Oreochromis niloticus: one gene and its partners. The protein of the gene in region 4 binds, or shares a complex with, the protein of the main gene of each other region. Links are inferred from orthologs where the notes say so. Each region holds a gene or a part of one and is shown on either strand. Other genes may lie near its edges. The genes, in order: cacnb1, cacnb2a, voltage-dependent L-type calcium channel subunit beta-3 and cacna1c.

Region 1 (7,964 bases), on a different chromosome or scaffold from region 4:
TGAATTTAAACTCCTATCTGTGAGATTTCTTTCATATTGTTCATGAAATTGTCACTCACATAAAAGGACACAAAAACACAGCAGGCAGAAACCAAAGAGCCAAGAAAATTACCATGTATTGAATTAAAATGTCATGGCTGCACATTCATTAGAGTGTTGATCCTTGTGGAAAAGTAAATGGATACTAGAGCTGACTACCTTGAGCTACCTTGGGCAGCAGTAGAAAGATAAAAAAAAAAAAAACACGAGAGGCTAGCCTGAAAGTCCTGCTCTCCTGCTGCACATTATGTTCTTCTTGGAGGAGTATGTCAGCCAGTTGCTGCAGGAGAGTTAAAGGGACTGTTCAGAGACATGACTACCATAACTTCAAAAGTAAAATGTGATCCTTTTTTGCTTCTTCCTCCCATGCAAAACTGAGCTCAGCGGAAGTATGAGCTGCAGCCGCAGAGGATGATCTTGTGGGTGTTCAGTCCAATGGCATCAACTGGAATCAGGACGTCACACTGATTTCCCCCCAGAAGGGCTTTATCAAAGACTGCTGCAGGTGTGGGGTTCATTTTCCTTTGTGACTGGTTGATACGAGAGGAGGAGGTGGATGAATCATCCCTTTGTTTATTCAGATTTACACGGATATCATCAATGCTCTGTGAACTCAGTGTTTATTGCATTTCCGTGACTGTCGTCATCTAAAACTCATCAACACCCAAACCTAACGATAATTTTGGGAACCGGCTGCTCATTTCGATTTCAGCCATGCACTTGAGGTGGGAATAATTCGCTATAACAGTTAGCCGTATAAACATCTGAAAATGCCACACTGAATAATGTGCAGGAATCAAATACCAAATGGACCCTCAGAGACTTGCACTTGCACTTGAATTGAATTTTTACAACCTTTTAAGGTGTTTCAGCTCCTTTTTTAGGGGATACTCTTTGACTATACAATCTCCATGAAGTATCACAGAAATGTGGAAGTTTGCATCAATAGATGTGAGTTAAAACTGCATGATGAACTTCAGCAAACAGCTAAAAAGGAGAAAAACCAGAGCAGTAAGACTTTCTGGTGAGTTTTGACGTCAGTCAAAGGTTCAGCAGAAAACAAACACATGCACTCTCAGTGGGGATAGGTGAAAAAAAAGGTTCACAGTTCTTATCTTTTATTATTCTGAGCTGATTCACAAAAGCCACTAAAGAGTTTTAGAGTAGTAGCACAGGGTGAACAAATAGATTAAAAATAAAGGCATCTTTCAGGATTTCAGATATTTGATTTCCAGTTAACTTAGCATATCTTCATCGTGGCTCCATCAAAAAAGTATTGGCAGAAGAAGTGAACATTCTTATTGTAAGACTTCATGAAGATGTAAAAATTCTAAAGGAAGACCAGTAGCTAATTTTTTTTAAATGGTCCATTCAGGAACTATAAAATAAGCCATAGTGCCTTTATAGCCACACTAACTGTCCTCTTAAAATGATGTCCCCAACAATGCACTGCTTAAACAACAAGTCCTGAAAAACAGATGCTTTATTTCTTTAGATTTGGCACAGAGACTATCAGACAGCATGAAAAAAAAACATTTTGAGATTAAACTTTTCTAAAGATCTTGAATATTATGAATATATTTTTTGGTCAGATTCAGTATACGAGACCTTTATTGTCAGTGTGGAAGCAACGTCACATGATGTATAGGAACAGAAGTGTTGGACCACACCGCTTAATCTTTCAATTAGAGCAAAGCAAAGTGGATATTTTTAGGGACCACAGCAACTCAGACACAAAGTGGGAGATCAAATAAAGTTAGTGGCTCCCTAACCCCTCTGGTGCATAGTGTGCAAAAGTGGCCAACCATCTGCTGACAGAGTTCCAAATGTCCTCTGTCTTTAACATCAGCAGAAAAACTGTGCACCATGTGCTTCATGGCATGGGTGTCCATGGCTAAGTAGCTTCTGGTGCACAGTTTTTGTCATAAACCTGTAAAATTGAACATAAGAATATTGCACATCAGGACCGTACATGAAGTACAGTTTAGTGGTGTCGCAGCTGTTGTGAAGAATTTGAGTTTCAATCTGTTTGTGGATGCTTTTATAGCACTAAAGCACCTGCCTGCTGCAAGGAACTTGAACAAATGGTGTCCAGCATGTGTCGTGTCTTTGTGAAGTTGCTCGGCACTCTTCAAGCAGCGAGTGATGCAGAGATGTTCCAGAGATGGCTGGCAACAATGTTTTGTGCTGTTTTCAAAACACACTGGAGTGCCTTTTTGTCAGCTTTGGTGCTGCTACCCTACCAGGCTGTCATGCAGCTTGTGATCGCAGTCTGTAAAATTTGGCAAGCAATTATGGGGGAAAGTTGGCTCTCTTTGACTTTTTTAATAAATAAAGGTGTCGTCATCCCAGGAAAGGTGCTCAGTGATGTGAACCCCCCAGAAACCAGAAGTGGAGGGCTCTTTTCAGGTCTCTGTATTGATGTATAGAGGTGTCTGTGGTTTTCTTTGTAGTCTTTGTTTGGTGGCATAATTGGTGTGTTCGTGTCCATGATTTCCTCAGTAAATGCATGCTAATAATTCTTTATTACTGAGGTGGGAGTACTATATAATAACGTTTTTATTTTGAATATATCAAAATACTAGCTGACAAGAGAGTAGCAGAAGCGGAATATTCCAGCATCCAAAGCACACTGCCAAAAAAAGAATTTCTAAAAGAGAAGAAACTAAGAACTGTGACCTGCTGCCTGAGTCGAGGTCAGCAGAACACTTTTGCAGCATTTTAAAGAGAAAGACAAACCAGCAAAGAGGGTTTTAAAAAATGTTTGAACAGTGGAACAGCAACAGTTCTTCATAGATCTGCACTGTCCTGCATGTCAAAGACAATTTAATCTGTCATCAAAAGCAAAGGCAGAACAGGATGCAAATTAATGAAAAAAATAAAAGATTTAAGTAATTAAAGTTGTACTGTTACACTGAGTTCCTACTGTGGAGCCTGCACTTATTACAGTAAATCTAGTTAAATCAAATCAAATCAAATCATGAGACTGCAAAAGTTTCCCCTCAACTCATGTGTCATGCTTCTGTTACTGGCTTCCATCTAATGTCTGTCCAACAGATACATTTAATATCGGGGCCTTAGGCTAAATAACGCCATCAAAAAGTCAAATCTGAGCAATTGATAAGTGGCAAAAACTTTGCTTTCACTTTCGGTCTAAAACAATGTGCCTTAATAAACCAGGTGCAAGCTACCTGCTCAGCATCAAATGACAAGTCGGGAAATAGCTAGCTGAAGAGCTGGTTAAGGCATGGATGTTTTTAAGTTAGAGGACAGCAAAGATAAAAGGTATTGTTTACTGGATGTGTACTCATGGGATGGTTTGCCTATGCATCTGCCCACAAGTGATGATTTGCATTTAGCTGTCCACTCATTTATGTCTTTTCTGTTGGTGTTACAACTCCAAGGGACAAAAAAATGATGTTTAGTTTGATGATCTTGAAAGCTTTAAGTTAATTATTTATAACTTTTTTTACTAGATACATTAAAACTGTGAGATGATAGTGATTCATTTTTTAAAATATGTCTGTCTTTATTTAGCTAGGTAATGCAAAATTTGGGCACATCAGACAGTCTTACCTGCTCCTGGATCAGCATTATATCCCAAAGTTTATTTACTTATTTATTTTTACCCAAGGCCACATCAACATCATTCTCCTCTTCTTCAAATCATAGAGACGTCAGGCATTGAGCCTCCCTGCTGCTACAACAAACTAGCTGTCAAATTGAACTATTCTCACCCCCCATTATAGCCCCGCGGGACCTTTGATTCCTGGATCCCGGTGCGGGGACCAGTGGCTCAGCTTGACAGCCTATCCACACCCACAGCATCCATCGCTGCGGCTCGCTTCTCTCCATCAATCCATAAATGAGGGTGGGGTCTGTTCAGTGGGGCGTGGATCTCGGCTTCCAGCTGGAGTCTGTTGAGTTGAGCGCACACAAGGAAAAGAATCGACGTCAAGACAGAAAGAGAAACACATAAAACCCGAGAGTAGTTAGAAGACGCTGCTTTCAAAATAAAAGCCTGCCTGCGCTAGGTCGACTGATTTTATAGCCATTAGTTTCTACTGTCTTTCACAAATATAAATTTAACAAAACTGCTACCATCTATTAGTTTTAGCCTAACACTCAACTAGTGAAACCCAGTGTTTTGCATTGTTTACACAGTGCAAACAATGAAAAACAATATTGTATATATAACTTGATGTTGATAGGTAAGTTGTTTTAAGTCTCGGGGAACAGTTCTTCATCTGTTTCAGGACTCATTGTTCTTTTTTCAGCTGAGTGTAATTCCTTATGGCCAGTGTTGGGGTTATTGCTCCAAAAATGTGACATATTACATGTTAATTACATACTCTAAAAAAAAAAAAGCCCAAGTAACACACTACACCGAACATGGCTTATGACTGGTTGTATGTTTGGGCCTATTGTCCTACTGCAGAGTAAACCCAGGACCAATCAGGTGCCTGGAGTCAAAAGTCCAGCAACACTTTGCATTACTGATGCCTTTTAGCATTTTGCTAACCCTGAAGGAACACAGGGGTCAAAGTTCAAAGGATCAGATGTCCCTGAAGAAACCCTTAGGTACCCTGCTGTATGTTCAGGCTGTTGGTGGGCTGTTTGCAAAAGTTGGTTCTGCCAGAGGTCTCTTACTGTGAAAAGGGAGTTCTGTCTCCCCACCACTGCCAAATGTATTTCTCTCTAATATTCTAGAATCTTTACCTTATTATACATAACAAACGCAGTTTTGAACATGTGCTATACGGAATAAACATCTAAAACTTTCAAACAGGTAAACATAATAATACTTGTAGTGATGCTTCTTACCTATTCAAAGAATTTTGTTTTGAAAGCAGGATAACCGGATGTATCTGTACGTCACACCCATAACTTGACTCTTGTGTAAAAGCCTGGTGCGACAGTGTGTAACGCTATAGGCTGGAAGGAGGCAGCTGTTGCCATTATATTATCAACCAGCTTAGACGCATCAGCGGCTTCATTCTCTCCGAAGGAAAAAAAAATAAAAGATGAGTCGATCGACACCATCGTAAACACACTAAACTAGAAACTGAAAATAGATTTTTAAAAAGTTGAATCAAATGGTACAGAAAAGTAGTATGTCCAGGACGCCTTCGACCTCAACCCAGGAGATCCAAATGGACATGTTCGACCATCACCCACACACACAGGTAAGACCAAGAAACGGGAAGAGGGTAAAGCGTAAATATTATGGAAGTATTATGTTAAAAATCCCATGTTGACTATTTTGAATTGATGCTCTATATGGTGCTGGTGAACATTAAAGCTGCTGCACTTCTGAAGATTAACAGGTTGTTTCCAATTAAGTCGCTTAATTTGCCTTCGGGGTGCCGAGATGCTCGTGTACGCTGCACTGATGAATTTAGTCAAATTAATGATTTTAAGAAGAAGTGAAATGGATGAAATATACTAGTTTTTCTTCACTACGGATTTTGATTTATAGCTACATCCTTGTTCTGTGTTTAATTTTTGCTGGCGTTAATAAGTCTGTGCTATGTAACCGTGATGTGACGCTTGTTTATATGCCGTCTGACCAGCGGGTTCCCAGGAAAACCACGCCTTTGTTTAATTGATGTCTAATTATCGAGTAACATGTTGAATTGACCAGCTTCCTTGGGGGGGGGGGATTTAATAATTTCCATAAATGAAAGAGCGACTTGAGTTTTTCATAGGTGGAGTTGGTTTATGTTGTTGACATTTTTTCCCATTTTGTAACCCCCCCCCCCCCCCCACACACACACACACACCCCACAAACAAATAAACAAACAAACAAACAAAAAACATCAAATAAAATAATAATAATAACTCATTTATAGCCTTTATCTCCCCATGGTGTCACCTGTTTTACAGCCACAAATACACAGTGGCTCTTAGGAAGTGACATGACGTTGTGGGCATGTTTAGACATAAATGGATGACCAAAAAAAGATGAGAATATCTAGAACAAACACACCCACGCTGGGCTCAGTCATTATCTCTCTGGAGAAGGGGAAAAAAACAGAACACCTCACCATCACAGACAACCAGCGCTTCAAACCCTGCCAAGTCCCGCTCTCTCCTCTTTACTCCCACTTCTCCCCCTCAGCTCTCCATCCACTTTGAATGTGCCACTATGCCCATCCTGCTCTCGCCTTCTCACCTCATGTGAGATGTCTGTTTTTAGAAATCAGATCTTTATCTGCTGAGAGGCTGTGGTGAGAAGCAGATGGGCACGGTGCTTGTGCCAGGCAGATTAGATGTAAAGTTCATGTTGACCTGCAGCGGGATATGCTGTTATATGCACTTGTGTTTCTGCTGTAGAGAGAGAAGAAGAAAAAAAAACACATTTCTAATATCCTGCAGGAAATGGCCAGAGTTCTCTCACCAGCCACTTCTTTAACACAGAAGAAGAAATGAACTGTGTGCCAAGAAATTATCCAGTTTCTGAACCTGAGGGCAGCTTAGATTAAAGATTGTGTGTGCTGACCGCTGTCACATTGCAGATCAGTTGGGCTCTCTGAGCACAATATTGTATAGAGGGTTCTGGTTAAAAGAATGAAATATGTTTATGATACCTTTCAGTGTGCCACCCTCCACCCTTTATACTCCCTGCCTTCCTGCTTTCACAAACAGCACCCTCCTTAATTATACACTTAATCTGGGAGGATGTTTACCAGCAGGAAGCTTCCCATCCCACTTCCTCTGGCATTTCTCTGCTCTTTAGTGACAGGAATCAGGTCCATCATGGCTCCAATCATAGAGATCCCTCTAAAAACATGCATGCTAATGCATGTATGCACCTGATATCACACATGCTGTGAGATGTGATCAAATTTACCAGCTTAATTGCTGACATATTTGGTGGCACAGGAGCTTCTCCAGCATAACAAACAATGGGATCGGGCTGTGAGGCTACTTTTGGGTTCAATATTAACTTTATTGTCCCCAATGAGAAATTGATTTGTGGCATGTCCACTCATCAAACAATGCATACATTGTATTATTAGAAAAAAAAGAAGCTGGACCGGTAAAATCTTACCGGTCTGGTCCTATTGAAAGACAGATTACCGTACCAAGGAATGATACAAAACATTAGAACGGATTCTATAAAACTTTATTTAAAAAAGGGGTCAACAACATTAAAAACATTAAAAACTCTGAATTTCCTTAAAAAGTACAGCTGTTTTTGTTGTAGCAGCAAAATGTGACTCAAAGGACAGAACATTACCAATAAAAACACATAACCATGACAGTATATTTGCACACAGGTCAAGAACCATGGATTTTGTCTTCCATCACTAGGAAAAGGAAGAGTGTTTAGCTCGTTTCAGTGGATATGCGGCTGCTGTTATAAGACAGATGTGAAACTGAGACTGTCCAACCAAAATATACATCTTACTACTGCCTGGATATCAAAGCACAGTCACCTCTTAATGTTAGATGATAACTCACACAAAATCAAGAGGATTTATTAAACTACCCATTATACATTTGAGTGGATTGGCGGTTAGGTATACTGGATGCATATGCTATTTGAAATGCTGTCTGCAATATAGTTCTTCATGACCCCGATTAAGGCCACAAGCTGACATGCTAAGGTATTAAAGTTGTTCCTCATCACACAATTATTTCTGCCGCTTCAGCCTCTTTAGGCGATGAGCCTTCTCCATGCACCTTGGAAGTAGATGAAGTTGTGCCAGAAATTTCCTTTGTGTTTTCACTATGTGGGATTTGCCAGTTGGACGCTCTAAGACTAACAGCCAAGCAAACGGTTGATGTGAGCAGCACCGAGATTAAATGTTATCAGCTGATGCACAGAGACTGCGGGCTGCAGAGATGTGGCAGAGCAGGAGCAAGACCCATGCATGGAACAGAGGGGGCATTAATGGAAATACCGATAAAGTCAGAT
Region 2 (7,097 bases), on a different chromosome or scaffold from region 4:
CTGCATGAAAGAGACTCTCTGACTCCCAAAAAACATCATTCCTTTGCTCCGCACCATCTCTTTTCTGTCTCTCACTCAAATACCCTCTCATTTCCCTAACATGATGATGCAGACTGACAGTCATTCGCAGCACAGCCAACTGATGACTCTGACTGAAGGGGAACTCCTCATTTGGGGAGAAGACTGTGGGAATGGACATTAGCTCCCAAGGGTGGTGGGAAAATAAAAAATCAGGGAATTTCTCCCTGAGCAGCTTCAGTTGAGCTGCAGCGCCTCATTGAGAACTTCTCTGTGGCTGTGAGATGAAGTAGACAGCAGCCTAGGAGGTGCAATTTTGATCTGACCTCCTCCAGCTTCCCGTCGCTCTGCTGCTGCCGTGCCAAAGACGAGGCGATCTGTGCCTCCTCCAAAAAAGGCAGAAACATTTAAGCAGGAGTGTTCATCCTTAACTCAGCCCATTCTGTCCCTTTGCAGGTCTGCTCAACAAAGACCAGACTCGCTGAGTGTGTACCTCACAGGGTCTGCTTTATAACAGGCCACAGTGTCGCTCTGCACTCTGTGCACAGAAGATGCATGTCAGATGAGAGGCTTCCATTTAACATACTGTACCCAGCAGTGTTTACAGAGGGCTTTCATCGCAATGCACATCTTACTGCTGATGGATGATGATGACTGAGCCTGAGCCCTTACACCAGTTTGCATTTACTGTCAGGCATTTATACAAACACACAAGTGTTAGATTCCAACGGGAAGTAACTGCAGCCAGAAACTTGAATTATACTTCATGGTACTCTTTTATCGTGGTCAGATACATCTTTGTTGTACCTATTTTGGTCTAGGGCTTTAGGCACCAACAGATAGTTTAGAGATGACAAAAATAAGACACCGATAGGCGAGATCAACAAAAATTCAAATCACCACCCTTACCTGGCGAACAAGGCTGTTGGTTGTGGTGTCGGACGAGGTGCTTCCATCTGAGCCTTTAAAACGACCTTTTCTCCGAGCTCCTTTGCTTTGAGACTTCAGAGCCCCCCCAAAAAAAGACAGGATAAAACTGTTTATGAGGAATCTTAAAATCTTAAATCTTAAAACAATATACACAAGAGCATGCAAACTAATACATTTTCCCTGTAACAGATTTAAGTTCATGTGCAAAAATGCATTCAGCAGAAAATAATATGAGACTCATAATAAGTCATTAATGTTTACCAACAAATGCAACAACTGTGGTTAGATCAATTTCATTATCAATATGTTTTCTCTATGAAATGTCAGATAAAGCATTTGCCTCTCCAAGTACAGGGTGGTATCTCAAGAAGGTTGTGTCTGACAAAGATTATCAGTGATTATGAAAGCAAATAGAGCAATTTAAAGTTATCTGAGTGACCAGTTCTGCTTCCAACATTACAGCCTCCGTCTTCACTGATGAATTTCACTGCCTAGTTGAGTGGAGTTGGTGAGTCATTTCCAACATAAAATAATTTTTTATACCAAAAAGACTAACTCAAATATAAGGTCCTAATATTCTGCAATAAGACTTCAAACCAATGGCATTTAGCCAGTATTATAGCCAGTATCAGCCAAGCACTGATTTCCACTGTTTCTTACTTATTACAGATTGAGTGTTTTCACTTAAGGTGTAATGTTATGACGTGTTTCAGGAGATGAAGGTAATCACAGAGGTAGACGGCTTATTTTTCAAAAGTGACATCCTGGAAAAGTAATGCACGAAATGCAAGAAAATAATTTCAAATCTGCCTTTTTTTGTCCCCCTCAGTCCATACCCTCATACAAATACCCTAGGACCAAACAGAAATATCACTATAGGTGTTGAATAAATGCACTGTACTCCACAGAGCAATACAATACATTATCCAGTTTTCATTATTTTACCTGCAGGAATAGACAAAAGCCTTTATAAGATGTTTTAGACATTACAATGTTGTTGATACTGAAATTACTATGTTTTTCTTTGAGACTTTACACTAGCTTTAAACTTAAATGCCGCTTACCTGCCACTAAAACAGCCAAAACACCCATACATGCTAAGCACCTAGTACTTAGTTACTTTCGTTTTTACAGCAGTACTTCGAACAGAGTACTTTTTGCATTACACTCGTAAATATGTAATTACTACCACTGGCTTTACAATTGAAATACTTCCGGAAGTACGAGTTAATTTGACGAGCATCCAGGCTAGCTTACTTCAAAACGTCGTGATATTAAACTAATAAGACATGTCAAACTATTTTCAGTCCTTGAAAGTGAATATCCAAATATCAAACCTGACCCACAAATAAGTTAAAAAAAAAAAACCTAAACAAAACAAACAAAAAACAAGTTAATAAAAAATAAAGATTCGCCCTCGCGACTTACGAACCTCAATCAAAACTTTAATGAGGCCACCTGCGCTCACCAGCACGCGCAAAGGAAGCGGACAGGTTGAGAGCAGGTGAGCTGTTTGACGTCTCTCAGCGTGCAGTGCCAAGGTTTAAAGTGGCAGTTTAACAGGAACTGTCAGCTTTAATTAAAATGAATTAACTCACTTGTAACATGGGATGTTCCAGAGCGTCCATGTGTTTGTCCGGAGGTGTTCCTGCTCTGTTGGTTGGGCTAATGTTGACGACCATCACACCATTTGAGAAACGCGGATAGTCGGTAAAACCTCTCGGGTTGTACAGATGCTCCAACTCTGCCCGAGACAAAAGCGCATTTTTACACAGTAGTGTTGAAGAGTTTAATGCTGCTCTTCAAGTTTGAGTCGAGTTAAAGGAGGAGCTTGTGCGAAAAATGGCTGTAGTTTTTCGCGAGTTCAAGATGATAGTGATGATGTGAGTCGTCGGATATTATAGCCTTCAGCATCACAAAGCCCCCTCATCAGTTCGCTCCTTCCTACACTAGCTGAGAGAGCTCTCCTGCTCCGTGAGCCCTCAACCAACGCCAACACCTCTCTGCCTCCTCACAGCGCAAAGGGATGGAAATGAATAGCAGCATCCAAACACAAAGTCGGCATGAACACGACTGAAAAGCGTCAATTCAGAGTAACTTTGATGATCAGAACTGAACAAGTGAGAGAAATCAGGTCATAGCTACTGGGAGGTGTTTAAATCAACAAAATGATGTTTTTATTGTAATATAAACCTGATGTGGCCGCTCACAGGTATTGGCACCAAAGTAGAGGTGCCACAGGGTGGTGGAGGTGGTGGTGGTGGTGGGGAGGACAAAGAGAGGGAAAACAGAGGAAATAAGACTATTTTATCAGAAATGAATACAAAAACAAACAAACAAACAAAAAAACCCATACATGCAGCCCAAATACATATAGTAAAATATGATTAATGTCTCAGTACAAGTATTTAAAGTAAAAATTATTCATTTCTAATGGCTCACTTCAGAATCATATACATGATAGATACTTCAATCATCCTTAATTTATTAAAGATTATGATTATTAAAGATATTAATTTATTCAATTTAAATTATTGTATTGCAGCAGCACGATAAAGAGTAAAAATAGTACAGTCTAAAAGAAATAAACCACATTGTTAAAGTAAAAGTGCCACAGGTGCATAGTGAGGGTCTAATACTGTGAGAGTGCGAAGTTTTAACAGAAATTTTAACAGTGATAAAAAACAAAACAAAGAAAATAAAAATGAGGTTAATACAAAGAAGAGTAAAAAAATTGGATCACAAAGACTGATTCGTTATTATGTGCATTACTTGATTGTTGCAGCTGTAGTTAGATTAAATTACTTTTTTAGAGCTAGTTCCCTTTATCTAAATAATAAGCATAGCACCAGATGTAATGAGGAGAGGCAAATGTGACTGAAACAGAGGGCTCATGGGCTACCAAGCTGAGATTAAGTAGTCGTTAGCCAGTGAGCCTGTGGCTTCATACCACAGTCTTCCATTTTGAAGTACAACCAAGATTTTACTTTTTTTTTTTTCAATTCAATATGATCCAAAATGAGTGACTGAGACCATAAACTCATGAGGAAAGTGTTTCACAGGTCAAGAGCCGTTTTCCCACAGACTTATACTAAAGGACTGAATGTCTTTTTGCAACCACAACTATCGCCATCTGGTGGCCTTCACATAGAATGCAGGTTTAAGGCACTTTGCGTTGGCTTCATTTTTTCTGACCAAAAAGCTGTATTCATTTTTTCTTTCTATGCTAATAGCACTGGGTGAAAGGAGTATGGTGCCACCACATAGGCTGTATATAAAAAAATGGATGCAGCAAAAATCATGTCATATGTGGACAAGAGGGTGGAGTACTAGTTACTTAGAATCTTGATTAGCAGTTCATAGACTGACTGGTTTGGTTTAAATGCACACACATGCTAATTAATGCTAATAATAAACTAGTTGGACAATTGTTGCTACAACAGGCCTGTTTGTCAAATAATTACATTAAGAGGCTCCAACAACACAGCATAGTCCAGCTGACTCTCATTTATAGGAGGCAGTCAAAGCTGCCACATGCTTAACTCAGTATCCAGATGGATACTGGACATACCCCTGCACCAAGAAAATGTTAAATATACTTCTCTGAAATTTTTTTTTTCCATATTTGCTTCTCATGTAATAAAGAAATGGAGTTATCCAGTTAAACTGGGATATCCTAAAAACATATATATATCATCATGTTATCATTTGGTGCAGGAAACCTGAAAATTGGAGCAGTGAGCCAAAAGCTGACAGCTGAATAATTCGTATTGGCAGTTAAGTACAGGCAGCATAGCTGGCGGATGAAAAAAAAAAAAAAGGTGCTGCACCTGTTGACTATTTCATTATTGAATGAGCTCTTTTTTATAAATATGTCATTGTAAATACAATAAATTAATTAATTAAATTAAAAAATACCTCTCAGTTTCATATTTGATGACATACTTGTTCAGCCAGTAGTCTAAAATGCGAATATATTGTTTCTAAAATAAACTTGGCACTTGGCAGTAAGAAAATCTTTGTTTGGTCGATTATTTCTTTGTTGTAACAATGCTTCCTGGCAATAAATCTTATACTGTTGGAAAGCCTGTTTATTTCCCCTTCCACGATGCCACATTTGTAAGAAAAATGCATTTGTGGGTTGAGCAGCTGGGTTGAGTATGGAGGTTGCACCATGAAAAAAAAAAGCTTATTCTAATATTGAGTCTTGTTTGGTGTTGTTTATTGGATTGGATGATTAAAGTCTGAAGGAACGAGACATATTGGCCATTTAACAGTTCATCCAGTTAACAAACAGGGACAGTGCAATGTGAAAGAACCATACACAGCCACAACAGCTTGGCACCTCCTCCTCATGCTGGTCATCGGCTTGGTCGCACACCGGTATGGGATGGCGTCTGATTCTTCAGTGGGGTTGAGGTCAGGACTGCAGGCAGGCCATTCCTTCCTCTCCATTCCCAAATTTTGGTGATAGTCTCTGATAAATCCTGCTCTGTGGGGGTGAGTGTCATCTTGGAGGATAGAGTTCAGTCCCAGACTGTGGAGATATGGGATTCCATTTTATGGTATGTTCCAGATTTTCTGGGTAGAGAGCCGTCAGCCATATTGTACTGGAAACTTTGATTTCAAAGCTGTAGAAGACTATTTACAGTTCCTAAATCCTGACAGGGTGGTGTTGTCTTCTTGGGACACCCATGTAGTGGCCTGTCTCACAAATCCCCTCTTATGTGGAATATGCTCTTCTATTTGGAGATGGTACTGAGCGCATTCAAAAAAAATGCTGCAACTTGGTTTTGCAGAACACCAGCTTGAAGTTGCCCTGTGGCACAGGCCCTATCCACATTAGTCAACCGTGGCATGCTTGGAGCAGACACCAATCGACCACTGTAGCAGGGTCCATCCTCAAAGGTGCTGCTAATCAGACACCAGTCAGTCATGATTGGCAGCACATGGGGTACAAGAAGCTCAGAATAAGATATAGCAGATAGCAATCACACAAGAAGGTTTTTGGCATTTGTAGAGAAGATTTGGCAAGTTTCTCATGGGCGCAACCCACAAATGAATTCTCCTTACAAATGTCTGTGAAGGTTCTCAGTCATCCAGGTCATCGTAGTCAAAGGAGTTTGCAAAGAAAAGCGTCTGGACTTCTTTGAGTTGAAAGCAACTCAAAGAAGTCCAGACGCTTTTCTTTGCAAACTCCTTTGTCTCCTTACAAATGCGGCATCATTTAAGGGGAAATAAACAGGCTTTCAAACACTATGAGATTTATTACCAAGAAGCATTGTTACAATAAGGAAATAACTGACCAAACAAAGAATTCCATACTTTTTGGGCTAAGTTTATTTTGAGAAAAGAAAGCAACAAACTTTCAGATTACAAAATTTCATGCATACCAAAGGAAAATCACCAGGTTTGTATTAAATGTATCTTTCGTCTGTTTTCAGGCTTGAAATGAACTTTTATTTATCAAATGACCACAAAAACGAGGAAAAATAATAGAATCCTAGTAAGTAAGGTAATACTGACTTACACTAACAACACACACTGGACACTTTGAAAGGTACACCTTTCAGACTTACGTTACTTTGAATGTGGTATGGTTGTTGGTGCTAGACAGGCTGGTCTGAGTATTTCAGAAATGCTGATTTACTGGGATATTCCCACACAACCACCTCTAGGGATTACAAATAGTGATCTAACAAAGTGAAAATATCCAGTGAGCTGGAGTTCTCTGGGTGAAAAGGCCTTGTTGATGTCAGAGGTCACAGGAGAATGGCCAGACTGCTGTGTGCTGATAGTAAGGCGACATTAAATCAATCAAGCAAGGTATGCAGAGGAGGATCTCTGAATGACATCTCTGAAGAACCTTGAAGGAAATGGGGTGAAGCAACAAAAGAACACACCGGCTAAGAACATGCCACAATTCACATGGCCTCAGCAAAACTGGACAACAGAAGAATAGAAATAATTGCCTTACTGATGAGTCAAAATGATGTGCCATGTCACAAATCTCAGATCATCTAAAACTGGTTTATTGAACTTGATTATTAGTTCTCTGCACTCTATTGTCCTGCATGGTCACCAAATCTCAGTTCAGTGGAACACTTTTAAGATGCAGTGAAAGGGGAGATTTGCATCATGGATGTGTA
Region 3 (7,433 bases), on a different chromosome or scaffold from region 4:
TGTAATAAATCAAAATTTGAATTTATTTATTTATTTATTTTTAAGACTCTCAGCAAGACAATGCTACACCACATACTACATGGATTTACAACAGCATTGCTTCGAGTAAAAGAATCCAGGTGCTGAGCTGCAGTCCAGACCTTTCACCAACTTAAAGCATTTAGCACATTATGAACCAAAGAATACAATAAAGATAAACCAGGATGGTTGAGCAGCTAGGATCCTCTATCAGACAAAAATGGGTCAACACTCCCCTCCCAAAGGTCCAGCAACTGGACTTCTCCGTTCCAAGATGTTTACGGACTGTTAAAAGAAGAGGGGATGCTACTGAGTGGTAAACATGGCCCTGTCCCAACTTTGACAGGTCTTGCTGTCGTCAATTTCAAGCTAGTATTTTTCTCAAAATGCTACATTTTCTCAGTTTTACACATTTGATTTGATTGTTTCGTTACACTTCGTTTATTGCAAATAAATGTGGGTTTTATGAGTTTTGCAAATCATTGCATTCTGTTTCATTTACATTTTAGAAAGCATCCCAACATTTTTGGAATTGGGTTTTTTGTTTCTGTTAATGCAGCTTAAATCCAAATTCCAAAATTGCACATCACAACTGACTTGAAAATACATGGGAAGAGCCAACACATGGTCCATGTGATTACAACCCTCGACGTTCCACAAAACCGAACAACAGAGCACCTTAACGATATTCAACTTTACTGTAAGAAGCTTTTTAATTTGATTTCAAAAGAGGGTGCTCACCATTTTTTTTGCAAAAACACTTTTCTATGATTAACTCCAGCACATCGCAGATACAAGCTAAACATCTGGTTTTCTCATATCTGCCAAATTTGATAGTTTTGCTGAGTGGCGACGATCTGTTACGCTAAATAACCCAATACATTACAATGACTTCATATTTAAGACGATTTGTACATTTTTTCTTTTTTTTTTGAACAAATTTCTCGGTTTCTGAAACACCATTTACCAGATTAACAGTTTAAAATAATTCATGTTACAGTTCAGCTGTTCAATATTTGGCCTTTCACTTAAAGTCAATATAATCATCTGAGAAAATATTTTTCCCACCCCTTGCCCATATCTACAATCCATTCAAAATAGCTATGCAGCAACATCACAAGGAGAATCCTTTTGTTTCCAATTACAGATACCTTCTTTCTTAAATAACACTAAATCTCCATCTGAGTCTTCCACACATGTCTGACCTGAAAACATTAATTAAAAAAAATACTGAGCTGTGTTGGGATTTTGGTTGAACTTATTTTTTCTGTCAAGCATTTTGCTACCCTCTACTGGGCAAAGCAACCTCTGCAACTGAGGAAAAAGCGCTGTGGATGAAGATGCAGAGCAGAAACTGTCACACTGATATGAACAAAATAAGTAGAGAATCATGCAGGTATTTTAACAACCCCATCCCCACCTCCACCAACGGCAACAACAGCCTATACCCTAAAAAAAGAAATATGCAAGAGTTGCATTACTGCCAACCAGACACTGCGGAGACATTGGCTCTGATGACAAACTTCAAGCACCTTATAGCTTTATTCCAACATTTAGAGCACACCATGACCTACATTTTCCACAGAACCTACAGCTTTTTCCATCCACTAACAATCAGTGTGCAATAATGGGCCTGCAGTGAGACAATCCAGGCACAAAAGGAGCTTTTACCTGTCGTTTGATGAAGCTAGACGTAGTGTCGGAGGATGTGCTGCCATCTGAGCGTTTGAAGCGGCTCTTGCGCTTAGGCAACTTCCTGGGCAGCTGTGAGGAGGAAAGAGATGCACACAGGTGAAGAGATAAAAAGGGGAATGGGTAGATGGATGGCGATAGATAACGGGATGCAACAACTCTCTAGCAGTAATACTGGCAGCAAGGCTGACTATATTTATTTCAGTGCTTTAGTTGCTAATTATTTTGCAGATTTAGATTATTCATACAAAAAATAAATCTACTGCTGGCTTTTAAGGACTGCAAAAGCCAAAATGTATGGTGATTAAGTGCAAAATAGCTGCTTTGCACCAAAGCAAGCTGTAACTGCCAGAATCACACATATTTCAGGGCTGCCTTTCACAGCTTCACATGGTGGTTTGATTAATGCAGAGAGCTCCCTCAAACTGAGGAGAAAGCCTTTCAGATTCAGGCTACAGGTGAGTCCAGAGTCACGGCCTGCACATTTGCACCAATAAAATCCTGCACGAAAATCCCATAATGCTACTGGTGTGTGCTGGTTTCCCTGCACTGGAGTGGATGAAGCGTAGCACGGAGGGGGAAAATGCACTGAAATAAATAAAGCATCAATGCAAAGGCCTGATCTGCGAGTTGAGATCAAAACAGCAAATGCATCGACACCCAAGGAGGTGTTAAACTGTGTATCTGTGTTTAAAAGCCATAATATAAGGATACATGACCGTTCACCGGCTCAAGCATCAATCTGCAGTTTCAGAAAAGGCGGAGGTGAAAAAAAGGGAAAACGGAAAAAAGTAGCTCGCTGCCAAAACGCGACGCCTCAGATTGAACAACAAGTAGCATCTGACACACTAATTAACCATTTTCCTCTTTTGTCGGTGAAGATGGAGTTAGAAGCGAGAGAAATGGGAGTAAAGTGAGCGGATTTACCTGGAAATAGTGCGACTGGGAGCCGGTTTCCACGGCAGACAGAGGGTCTACGGGCGATTTGGACATTTTGACTTGCACCATATATTGAGAGCGCAGGGAGGCGGGATGCACATAGACATGGGTTACTGGAGGAAACAAGAGGCATCAGATACAGTGAAGAGAGCGAAGAAGCGGCAAGCGGGAGGGGGGAAAACGGACACTAATATCCAAACTCAGCTGACGGGAAGGCTAGCTCATACTCCCGAATAAAAACAAAAAAGTCTGTGACGGAGAAACGTAAAGGGAGTGGGGGAAAATACTGAAGCTAAAATAAACCGATAACGCTGAAGCATCAGCGCACGAGCGAACCGTACAGGTCCGTACTAAGTGTGCGACTCTGCCGGGGGTGTCGGCGTTGATTAAAATGACACAAAAATCAATTCAGACCTGCTTACAGTCAACATTTGGCTTCTTTCTTTTTTTTTTAGAAGTGCCTGGCTTCAAACAAACGCCGTGTTCCTTCTCGTCTGTGCATAATATTTGCTTGTCAAAGAAGGATTCAAATAGTTGAAACCGCAGTCAAATAAATGTGGAACCTTCAAAGAGGGCAGCTTTGAAGTCATATTTTAGAGGAGAGGTGGATTTTAGTTGAACGGGTTTGTTTTTCTTTGATCACCTTTGCCTCAGTAAAAGTGGTACTTCCTCACGAGGCATCATTTATAGTGCTTTATGTGACTGATAATAATTTATAAATACATTATAGGTCATTTAGGAGCTATTAATCACTGATACTCAGCAGTCTAATAGATTACGTAGTGTGAACTTAGATTATATGAAACCTAGTTAAGCTCGTTTCAAAATTAATCCATCTGAAATCACTAGCTTTAGATTAGTGCAGGGGTGCAAGCCAGGACTGGCCTGCTAAATGTTCCACTATGATCGACTAAGATTAGATAAGATAAGATAACCCTTTATTGTCATTGCACAGTCATATCTAGTACAATAGTACAACGAAATTGGAAACTGTCCCACGTCGGCACTAGGCACAACTAAACACAACAAAACACAACACAACACACCTTTGCAAAGTGTAAAAACTGAGGCTAGACTTTGCATTGCAATTTGCACCAGGAAGCACTGTGGTGCAAGTAATGTCTAGTAATGAGAGTTTTGTCATAAATTTAATCTGAGGAAGAATTTTTTAATAAAGGTCACTTTTACAGCTTTCTTCTTTTAAACCCTTCTATACCACACTCAAGAGTGAGGCTGCGTGACTTTAGGTTAGATAGTTAAGATAATAATATCTCTTTGTTATGACAGTAAAAGACATATTGGTGAAATTGCACATTATTCGATTGATTTAATAAGGTTACAAATCCTGGCAATCTATCTGTAGTACAAAGAGTAGGCCTGTCTGTGTGCAACAATGCAGTGCACATTACAAATGCTGAGATGTGTTCAGTGTGAGGTTTCTAACTGCCAACCCCCCCACCCCCCAAAACCTGAGGGTTACTTTTGTCATAGGATAGTATTCTGCTGATCAGACAAAAGACCTGGGCTGTAGTTTCAGTAGGTCAGGCAGGTCTTGGCAGTACCTCAAGACCTCAATATGAAAAAGGGGAAGGGAAGCAGCCAGTTGGGCAAGTAAGAGATCAGAGCAGGGGTGGTGGAAAAACTTGCTCCAGCAGTATGGTTGGTGTGCAACGGCAAGGTCTGTGTACACGATGCAAATCAAAAGTGCTCTATTGCTTTTGTCAGTGCTAGAGAGAAGTCACGACAGCACATGGACCCAGCAGTGGGTCTTCTTGCAGCAACCTGGGACTGGCAGAAAGTTGACCTGGGGAGACACCATAGCCCTGACCAACCTCAGGCCTGATATGGTGCTAATATCAGACTCACTGAGGCAGTTGGTGGTCCTGCTAGAGTTGACCATTCCCTGAGAAGACCAGATGGAAGAGGCTCCTTGCCAAGTAGCTTACAGGTGAAGCAAGGCATGGAAGACCCATTGTACCTCAATGTACTAGTAACTAGCCCATGAAGTTGCTCAGGATCAAGGGACTGAACATCATTAATTTATTGACCATGGGCCCACCGGCGGGCCCATTTTACAGGTAAATTTGAAGGGCCGGTCAATAAAGGGTTAGTGCTCCTGAGAAGACATCAAGATGGCAGTGGACCAAAAGGGGAGACCTGCAGATGACTTAAGCCACCCAGACACAAGCTGGAGACTGATCACCCATGGCTAGGTTGCCTGGGTACTGGTGTCTGATGTTGAAAGACCTGAAATACCTGATGACACTGGGTTTGGTTGCACTGTGGGTTGTGTGTTAAAACAAGCACTCTCATCACTCCCTTTTGTCCCCAAAACAATTAAAACTCTTATTTATTGTTATTTGTTATTAATGTTGCTGTTTTGTCGAGCAGTCTTTAGGGTTTCCATGCAGAAGTGCTTTTTGAGCTGCACATTTCTTGTTCAACTCAAATAATTGAGAAACATGTATATAAGAAAATTTAGTATTTTGAGAATCACTTTCCACCATTTTCATATTCTACAAAAATCTGCACAACTTGTTCTTTGGTAGTGATTTACAGTTTTACGCTTTTGACATGTACAGGCCATGAACAAGACACCTCCAGAGTTTCCCCTCTGGGGAGAAAACACTCTGCCTAAAGCTAATGCTACACATAAACTACACATTTCCTATCAACCATAATTAGAAATAAAAGTGAAAATATACAGTTGAAAGGGTAAGTGAGAAATTAAGTGCTATGATATCCCAGGATAATCAATATTTTATGGTATCTTAGAAGGGAAAGGGTGGAACATAAAATTGAAGGTTGAAATAACAAATTGATTTCCATTGGACTGAGTGTCAAAGTATGATTTTTGCCATTACACCTTTAAATCTTTAGTCTAAAATTACTCCCGATGCATTCATAGATAAAGTGTAAAAAGAAACTGGAGCAGTGAGACCTCTCAACAGCAAACTGCGGCAGCAACTTACAGTGAAACAATTTCATAATAACCAACGAAAACAAACTGAAATTTTACCCTTACAAGGGCATGTACATTCTGAAAACTGAACCACAGTAGATGATGAATAGCCTGACCTGTCTTAAGAAAAAAAAAAGTTTAGTTTTAGCAAAATCTGTCAGTTTTTCCACATTTGGTCAGTCTGCTGTTTTAACAAAAACAAAACAAACGTCTCTACAGTAACTACAAGACACTCCTTACTTTAACCACCTTACTTTGGTGTGGTATAACAGGAAATGGGAAATGAATTTGTCAGTAAGAAAGTGTTGTAAGTGATCGTGATTCAAACCTCCGGCTTGGATAAACAACCACTTTCATAACACGACACCATTCTTGATGACTTCCTTTTCATTCTCCACCACGCTCCCTAGAGTAAATACAGTGAAAACTACAGAAACCATGCACACTCGCCTTGTCTGCATTACAAAGTCATCCTGTTTGGCTGCACTGGCCTTTTTTTTTCTTTTCTTTTTTTACAGCCCATTACAGCTCTATAGCTAGTTGAGTTACAGGCCATTTTTAACCTTTTTGTAAATTCAGTAAAGTCAGAAACACCCAAACAGTGACACATCCGTGGTGTTTTCATTTGTGATATAGTCAGATTTTATTCAAATTAGTTACCATCCTGTAGCTGTTTTGTCTGCCTGATGGCTTTTTTTAGCTGCATGCTGGATCCAGTTTCTCTTCCTGTTGTTAAATGTGGACCTAAATATGAATAAGACTTTTCTTATTCCAAAAATTACCCAGTAAAAGTAATAGAGGTGATCCATTTAGCAAAACCTACAGAGATCATCACATCACATCACCACACACCCCCACCCCCACTATTTGCTTCAGTTTTCACCCAAAGCCTGTCCTACAAAGACTCCAGTTGCCCCTTTCCCATCAATATGGCTCTGGTGCAGTGATGGTGCCCATGGTAAAAGCACCAAAAGCTTGCCATGAGATGTGCTACAGCAAACTAAATAAATAGTCAAATCATCAATGACTGATTATTTTCTTTACTTTTATTTGATTTGATTTTTTATTTGTTCACATGAGCCTCTCCTGTGATTTCTCCTCCACTGTTGCTACCTCCTTAACAACTGTGGATGTTTATCTCTTAACATTATAAATAGCAGGCAGTTTGACCAATATGCTGTCTATTTTATCACACTAGGAATAAACTACTGGTTTGTTGGCCAGGTTTGAAGAATTGAAACAGGGCTCCATTAGTAATTCCAGATTCCACATTCAAGATAATTTCATTAATTATTTATTATATTTATCTTAGTTTTCCCGAACAGCAGTCCTTTTTAACTCGGACAGCTGGCAGTTTGCTGTTCAAACTCAGAAAACCAAAGATCCTAAAGCTAAATCTAAACAATAACATAGTGGTAACAACACCAAGCTTTGACTTGAATTATTTAAACGCTTTAAAAACTACAGGCTAACTTTGAATGGCTTTTATTGACCAGATTGAGCTATAAGAGGCCAGGATGATTACGGCTTTCGTTATGCTGACATAACAACTCAGTGTGTCAATATGCTTGTGTTAATTTGGTTAAAATGACAGAAATATGTTCCATGCGATAAAAATTTAAAGTGCAATATTAAACATAATAAATTCTGACATGGACTCAAGTTGTACCACAAAGTCTCTGATGATTTTATAACTAATCAGTTTTACCACAAAAAACCCAACTAACATGTAGTGGTCTTTTAAAAATTTGGACTTCATTTCTTTTTGTTATTTAGCATAATTCATTTCACGTGTTGTCTCTTTAGGACAGTAACGTATTAG
Region 4 (7,715 bases):
CGTGGACTTCTAGTGTATTACAAGTCGATGTATTGTGATGGTAAAAGGTCATGAGCATCATCCTAATCTGTCATTTCCAGCCCTAATATCAGCACTTAGATTTAACACTGATATGGGTCTGAACTTCTGGTATGTAATCCACTGGTATGTCTGGTATGTCATATATATTAGAAGTACATCAATGGCTATGTCGAGATTCTTACCTCCAGGTGGGATGTATCGATATCCCAGGACACTCTCTGTCACCAGCAATCCTCTAAATCTGACTTCAGGTTCCTCCTGCAGCCTCTCATGTTTAGGTTTCCTCTCAAACAGGCCTCTCAGCATGATCTCTCAGTATTCTCACAGTCCGGTGATGATGTTTCCTCTTTCTGTCTCTCCACAACTTAAAAGTTGCTCAGAACTGATATTAAAAAGCAGTGCCAGTAATTACTTATCTGGCCAAAAGATGCCAAACGCGATGCTCCCCTTCCTTTTTCTTCTTTAGGACCACAGATCTACTGATGGCGCTCTGTAAATATCAGGTTGTACACATACAGGTTTCCCAGTAGTTCTGGTAGTTCTTTATTTTGAGAACTGGGTTTCAGATGCAGAAGAGCAATTTGAACATCCTTGCAGTTAAGTCTCAAGAGGAAGGTGTAACAGAAGTGGTATACGAGACTTTACTAGCTGTGAATGTCAATATTTACTCCTCCTCCTTCAGTTTTCCCCGAAATGTCCTCTCATGCAACAGCATCAGTTTGCTTTACTTCAGGAGCACGTAATTCCTGAAAAACCTCCAGGAAACTAAACGCTGGCGAAAAGGATGTTATTACTCTTCCTCATGACTGATACTATGAACTTTCTTCACAAAGGTGATCTCATACTGCAGTGAAAGTGTACCAAATTTATCTTGGTCATCACTTCTGCTTGTAAATTTGTCTGAATTTATGACTCTACTAAAGGTAAACAGTCTCACAGTAACAGAGTAACTGAAATGTCAACTTTAAGCGTTGTTTGTCAAACATAAAACACAAGACTTTTTTTTTTTTTTAAGTGTCCCGTTGAAGTGTTTCTAAAGGCTGGTGCTTTCTGATGGGCTGCTACATCGTAGGCGCAGAGGGTTTCAAAGACCACACAGGTTCAGTTGTGAATCACTTACAGGCTTTGCTGGGTTTCCAATATATTTTGTTCAAACCGTAACAGACAGCCTGTGTCTGTGGTGGTTTTTGAAGCTGCCACTCTTCCTGATATCAGTCTCAAGCTTAAGTTGTAGTCCTGCTGAAGTTGTCGTCCCACGTGGCCGTTCAGTGGAGTTCCCAGTCGAGTTGCTTTGGTACTTTGCTCGAGGCATACATTTCAAAAATCCCTCTGTCTTTCTCTTTCAATTTCCAGTGTCGAGTGGAGCTCTCTCTTTCTCCCTCTCGAATTTGTAACCTTATGGCCACAACCACTTTTCGGCTCTCTCGCTCTCGCTCTCTCTCTGTATCACTCTATCGCCCTCACTCGTTTTTTTTCTCTTTCCTATCTTGTTGATATAGTTTCTACAGGTCCTGCTGGAGCTGTGGAAGTCTTCTATTTTAAAAGCACATGCACATCTTTTATCTTATCTTCTTCTCCCTTTCTGTGAGACTGAGAGAGAGCAACATGCTGGCCAAATGGAGTGTCTAATGTCTGAAACGTCACAAGTTCTTTTTAGTATTCACTGACATGTTTCTATTTTGATGTGCTTAACGAGCTCCCCTGTAACACACTTCACTTCTTTCCATTCATCTTGCTCATTTTTCCTCCATTTTCCAGCTGTCAGACTTTCACCGTGTCTCTCTCCGTCTCTGTCGAATAGTCTCATCCCCTATGAGCACACTGAGCACTAAGTGGCTCTGGCTCCACCAGTCAGCCTCCCACTGCAGTTACTTATTTGGTCCTGGGCTTATTTTCCCAGGCTCAACTGAACTCTCTGTGTACGTATGTGTCTCAGCCTCTCCCTCTCTGTCTGTTCTCCTCATCCACTTTGACCTCGATGCCTTACCCAGCCCCATTTGTAGCCAAGTGGATGTGTATTTTTGTTCATGTCTGTGTGTGTGGGAATGTGTCTTGTATTCAATTGGATTACATAAAAACCTAGTCATGGTATAGACCCCACTGATTGCTCTTTTTTCCCCCCACTTTAAAATCTTTGTGTTATTTATAAGTTTTTCTCTGTCCTTAATTTACTCTCATATCTTTTACTCTTTGCCTCTTTTCTTTTTGGGGATTGGGATCTTTCCCCGACATCCACAAACTGCAGCAAATTTGTTTCTGTCTTGGGCAGAGTAGCACCATGAGTATTGCTAGAGCCCTCCACTCACATGTCTTCTCATTTGATAAACTTGTCATGCAGGTTGAACATCCAGGTTGATAAAGGAAAAAGTTCAACGATTTCAGGGTCTGGGCTTCTTTAGAACATCACGGGAACTTTATTTTTTCCATGCAAAATTCTAAGCCCTTCCTTAGTGGCTGCAATTGAGTGGTTATGCAACAACGATTAATCTTTCAAAAGAGAGCACAAATGCAAACAGTAAAATTAATCACTTTGTAAAGTAGTTCATCCCATCTACAAAACTGGGCAAGTGTCTTTTTCCTCCCTTGCTGACCGTGTTTACGTAGATCAGGGCACTCCTGGGGCCCATGTTTCATTGTATAATTGCATCGCTGGCTTCTGTTCCCATTGGCTTGGCTGGGAAATGACTCATTTTAAACCCTGGGGTTATACCCACCAGGGCTAATAATAAACAGTTTATCTATCTGTTAGGTCCGCACTGATGTCATTGCAGCAAAATTGTGCTACAGCATGGCTACACATTCATTCAATTGTCTGGGAAACTCATTTTGTTGTCTGCTGACCTGGACTGAGCAGACAGTTGCATTATTACACCAAGCTAACTAGATTTTCAACATTGACAGGGTCATTATTGCAAATAATTTGCTGGATTTTTGTTAATGTAATGTCCTCAAAAGTTCAATTCTGTCTCTTGCTGCATCTCAAACCCCCTGTTCTTCTTCCCCAGTGGCAATCCATGGGATTTGGTTCTATGATAAGGAGGACTGTCAGCGCATCGCCCAGAGGATGAAGATGTAAGTAACTGTAATTGGATGATCTTCAAAACAAGATTTGGTTTGCTTAAAAATGACTAATGAGTTATGGACCAGCTGCCAAAGCTTGACAGAAGACTCTTTTGTTCATGTGTGCAGTCTGACCCAGCAGGAGCAGGTCCTGGCTCAGTCCCAGGGTGGTTGGTTATCCCCAGGAGAAGTAAGAGTAGGGGGAGGGGGAAAAGGTGAAGCAAAGGGAGTGGACATCATCCAGATGTTAACCAAAGCCCGCACAGAGTATGATAAGGTATGTGCACACTGTAGGATTTTGAAGAGAATAAAACAATTAGAACAACACAGATTAAAATGCTGGGAATAGCTAGGCCCTAATATATCTTTGCATTTACATTTGTTCATTTAGACCTATAGGATGCGGGGAGTATTTTCTAGGATCCTCAATTAATCACTTATAGTAATCTACTTTTTGGCAATTTATGTGAAATAGTTTTTATGTATTTATTTACTTATTTTGTTAATTGTCTCTCCTTTGTCTATTCTTTCTGTGCACCTCTCTTAGGAAAAGTCAACCTCAGAGCCAAAGGAGATTGGTGGCAGCAGTGTTCTTTATGGAAACCCCCACCTGATTAAACCAATACCCGTTAAACCAAACACTCAGGTAGAACATCCAGTTTAACCCTGTTAAAATCACATTTTTCGTGTATAAAAGAGAGTTTGTAATGGTTTTCTTCCATTGTTGTGTATAAAACCCTGCTAGTTTTTTCTGTTTGTGCTTCTAACTCATCATCTTTCTTACTCTACTGTGCTTCTCTCATCCAGGACAATGAAGGTGCTCAGCCCAAGTCTCTTTCTTTGGCTACTCTGTTTGGCTCTCAGCAACGTTCAACTAAACCTGACTCTGTCCCTCTTGCGAATGCTCCAGCACTGGGATCATCAGCGGGAAAAGTATCTCGCCCGCCTGTAGCTCGCACACTCACCTACGATGATGCAGTGAACTCTGGCAGAAATGTGGCCTCTGATGGAGGAATCAAGGCTGTGGAAGATGGAGCCAATGTTGTTTCTGGCTTGTTGCAGAGTCCCTCAAACGCTCACCAGCAGCAGCAGCACTGCCCGGCCATCGCAAAGCTCATGCAGGGACAGAGAGGTGTCGGGACTGTGGGAGGGGTGCTTCAGACTGTGTCCGAGTCCCCCGAGAACCGACTCTGTGACAACGGGGTGCCGCTGGAGCATCACCACCACCATCATCTTTACCACCATCAGCAACAACACCACCATCACCAGCATCAGCTTCATCCTGATCCAATCAAGAGACTTTTCCAAACCCAACCACCTCCTCTACCCACCACCTCTTTCTCCTCTGCAGCCCCTAATTGTTACTCCAACCCTTCCTCTCTACAGCAGAACCCTCATCTCTCCTCCCAGCCTGTAATGGTGGATTCTGTGTCACGCTCTCACCTTCAAGCACAACAAAGCCAGCAGCTGTTTTTCAGCCTGTCCAATTCTCAACCTGAAATTCAGCAGAACAGCCAGACGGCTCCAGCTGCACAGGGAACAGGTGGGGAAATCTTTTGTGTTAAGTGTTCACAAACAAACAAGCTAACCTTGTACTGAATCAGTGTGCTACATACACATTTTTATAATTACAATGCTAATAAACTATGGGAAGAATAACTTTTCTATAATGTTAATGGGATTCTTCTTGCTTTACCAGGTTTGTTGCCATCTCAGGTGACCAGTGATCAAGTCATTCAACCTTCACAAGGTATAGTATTCAAGTTTTTTATTGTTTGCAGTCGCTAACTAGCAGGGTTTTAGTGGTGAGCACAAACTTAAGCCGATTGTTACTGAAGCTCTGACGAGTTTTTCCAATAATTTGAAACTACATATAAACAGTAGTTAAATTAAGAAACTGCAAAGGAACACATTTTTTCCCAGTTACAAGACACATTATCTGTAGTTCCATTGCTGTGTTTCCCACAGGACTGGAGCTCATACATGTGCACGCATGCACAGTGTGCATAAATTCACACTTTTGGAAATGATTTACCCTAGAGTACACTCACCAACCTGTTTAGCTGCTCATTAAAAGTAATTCTTGTTTTTGGTACCTTCGTGCTTTCTCGTCAGGATTGTCTCACGTGCCAGGTATGGTGTCACCTCATGAGCTCCTCCAAAAGCTCCAGTTGGTCCAGCAGGAGCAGAGCCTGACCTCTAGTGAGCCACCTCGGATCTGTCCAGGACTGGCTCCTCGATTCCTGGGGCCAGCCCAAAACCAGGGTGCATGCGTGACTTTAGGCACAATCCCAAACCCAACTGCAGCCACTGCAGGTCAGAAAGCTGCGTTGCAGTTACAGGTAAAGCCCAGTGTAAACAGTTAGTAGTTGATTTTATCAACTATATAAACAGAGCAAATGGCAAATACTAGTTAAATTGGTGACATGATAGCTGCAACAGTACTATAAGTGCTCCCTGTCTGTGCAGGTGATCTCCCCTCAGAGGATACCAGCCACTGTTGCCCCGACTCTGCTCCTTTCCCCGAGTATGTTCACTCAGACAAAGCCTAGCAGTGGGTTGTCTGCAGTTGGTCAGGAGAGCTCCCACCCACCCTCAACTGTGCCCAGACCTCCTCTGCAGGAGGAAGTCAGAATCCTTTCCAGAACTCAGCTTCAAGCCACACTGCTGCATCTGATACAGGTGATTATTCCTTTAAAGTTTGTGGTCTATTATGGCTTCACAATGCTCGCTGTCCAGTTGTTGTGCTCACGTTGTAGCCAAATCTGTGCAGTTTTGTTTGCAGAGAGAAAAACAGAGAATAAGCAAAAACAAACACACACACACTTGAGGATTTAGTATGAAGTTGCCTGCTTGTGTGTTTCAGACCGACAGCTCATTCCTGGACTCCATCTATGAAGCCTATACGAGCCGCTTTGCTAAGGACTCCAGCAACAAGTATTGATGCAGCTTCACACCCTCGTTCTACTCACGCACCCTTCCCAGAGGCTCTTTCTTACACCTCATATGGATGCACCACTTCCTCCTCCAAATCACATAGACACGTACTTAAACACACACTCTGTACCTCCTCTGCACTATCGTTAGGAAGCCTGACTCTGTTCGCTTCAAGCCAAGTCTTTTGTTGCACAAAGCTATCACAAGTAACACCTGTATTTTTCAATAGTAGCAAAGGAAAACAACTTTTACAATGTTCAAAATAATTTGGTTTAGTCTGTAGATTACAGATTTTACCCTTGACCTCACCCTTTGAGTCTCAGCAAAAACAAAACATGCTGCAAACCTTCAGTTTTCCAGGATGTTTCTAATACTCTTTCTTTTCCAGTAAGTGTAGCAATATTTCCTTTCAGTCAGTTGTCTCGCACCAGCCAGCCTTTAACAAACAAGTCTTCCTAGTCTAGAGCTAAAAGACATCTTCAGATATTATTTTAATCTCTTATTATTTTACTTGGGCATAACAGGTTTGTGTATTTTACCACCAGCAGGTTTTTTAAATCTGTTATTACATTGTTGTGTTGATTTTTATTTCTATCCTTTTTAACAGACACGAGCAGTGATAAGTGTCTACATTGTAATTTTGGTTAACTAACTGTTGTCAGCTGGTGCATATTGAAGTGGACGAGCGAGCCTGCGGCATAACTCTATCCGGCAATCGCTGAAATTGTGAAGGAGAGAAAAGGTTTTTCTTTTGCAGCACTTTTTGAATATTATAATATGTTTGAAGAAGGAAAACGTCAATGTCAGTCCACCTTAAAAAGACAAGAAAATTACAGGAACCTGACAACCTGCACTACCTCACAGAGAACTTGTTTGGAGGTATACCTGTGTTTTAAATGAAGTGGCATAAAGGTGATTGATTTATGTCATATAGTAAGGAATTTTTGTTCGCTTTATGTAAAGAGATTTCAGAAAATTAAATATCACCTAAGCTGATAAATGGTTCTAAACAAATGAAGCCTAGAGTGGTCTAATAATATGATTTAATAATCTGAAGCTTAGAAAATTTGGTTAATTAAATCATCAACAGCAACATTGTTACTTGTTCAGGCTTGTTGTAAACCCTGGTGGAGAGTGAACATAAAATTTAAAAGGTTTTATTGCATTTGCACAATACTGTTATATTACATTTGCCACGTAAAGTGATATTTCTCATTCAGTCGTTCCTCATTCAGCACTTAAATTGCTTACGTTTTTCCAGAGTCAGGGTTTTTAGTTGGTGATTAGCGTGTGTGCTAAACCCATAGCCAGCCTGGACAGTAGCTACCAGGCAGAAACATCAGCAGCAGCAAAAGCAGAGAATATCATTCAGGAAAAAAAAAGAGGAAGATTTTATTCCCTATTTTTTTACTCAAGAAGAAAATTGTACAAATAACCAGCATGTATTTAAAAGTATATCAGAATGTAAAGTTTAAGATTTCACAGCATATTGTCAGATGCTGTTTTAATTCAAAAGTCATCTGTACTGTTTCTGTAACCAGAATATTAAAATGTTTCTATGGGCTTTTTTTTCTTTTTGGCAGGGATGTTTTCCCATTACATAAACTGGAATATATTTTTATTGGCTATTAAATGTTAAAAAAAAAAAAAAAAACTGTGTCGTTTTTTTTTTTTGTTGTCCTCATATGTTTGTTGGG

Evidence for each region.
Region 1: cacna1c (region 4) and cacnb1 share a complex: the UniProt entries of both Homo sapiens proteins name them as parts of the calcium channel complex. The link is inferred for Oreochromis niloticus from reciprocal best matches to the Homo sapiens genes CACNA1C and CACNB1.
Region 2: cacna1c (region 4) and cacnb2a share a complex: the UniProt entries of both Homo sapiens proteins name them as parts of the calcium channel complex. The link is inferred for Oreochromis niloticus from reciprocal best matches to the Homo sapiens genes CACNA1C and CACNB2.
Region 3: cacna1c (region 4) and voltage-dependent L-type calcium channel subunit beta-3 share a complex: the UniProt entries of both Homo sapiens proteins name them as parts of the calcium channel complex. The link is inferred for Oreochromis niloticus from reciprocal best matches to the Homo sapiens genes CACNA1C and CACNB3.

The regions. Positions count from the first base shown.
Region 1 is NC_031969.2:27,484,039-27,492,002, forward strand, and holds the start of cacnb1 (voltage-dependent L-type calcium channel subunit beta-1), read left to right. Parts: upstream 1-4,949; 5' UTR 4,950-5,135; coding exon 5,136-5,225; intron 5,226-7,964. UniProt on the Homo sapiens protein: Regulatory subunit of L-type calcium channels. Regulates the activity of L-type calcium channels that contain CACNA1A as pore-forming subunit.
Region 2 is NC_031974.2:16,013,875-16,020,971, reverse strand, and holds the start of cacnb2a (voltage-dependent L-type calcium channel subunit beta-2a), read right to left. Parts: upstream 3,007-7,097; 5' UTR 2,631-3,006; coding exon 2,547-2,630; intron 1,021-2,546; coding exon 928-1,020; intron 1-927. UniProt on the Homo sapiens protein: Beta subunit of voltage-dependent calcium channels which contributes to the function of the calcium channel by increasing peak calcium current. Plays a role in shifting voltage dependencies of activation and inactivation of the channel.
Region 3 is NC_031984.2:12,750,871-12,758,303, reverse strand, and holds the start of voltage-dependent L-type calcium channel subunit beta-3, read right to left. Parts: upstream 3,006-7,433; 5' UTR 2,719-3,005; coding exon 2,638-2,718; intron 1,783-2,637; coding exon 1,690-1,782; intron 1-1,689. UniProt on the Homo sapiens protein: Regulatory subunit of the voltage-gated calcium channel that gives rise to L-type calcium currents. Increases CACNA1B peak calcium current and shifts the voltage dependencies of channel activation and inactivation.
Region 4 is NC_031981.2:10,681,959-10,689,673, reverse strand, and holds the start of cacna1c (voltage-dependent L-type calcium channel subunit alpha-1C), read right to left. Parts: upstream 3,002-7,715; 5' UTR 328-3,001; coding exon 204-327; intron 1-203. Other genes in the region: dcp1b (mRNA-decapping enzyme 1B), read left to right, coding at 3,027-3,093, 3,211-3,358, 3,629-3,727, 3,889-4,624, 4,781-4,831, 5,197-5,423, 5,551-5,763, 5,948-6,025. UniProt on the Homo sapiens protein: Pore-forming, alpha-1C subunit of the voltage-gated calcium channel that gives rise to L-type calcium currents. Mediates influx of calcium ions into the cytoplasm, and thereby triggers calcium release from the sarcoplasm.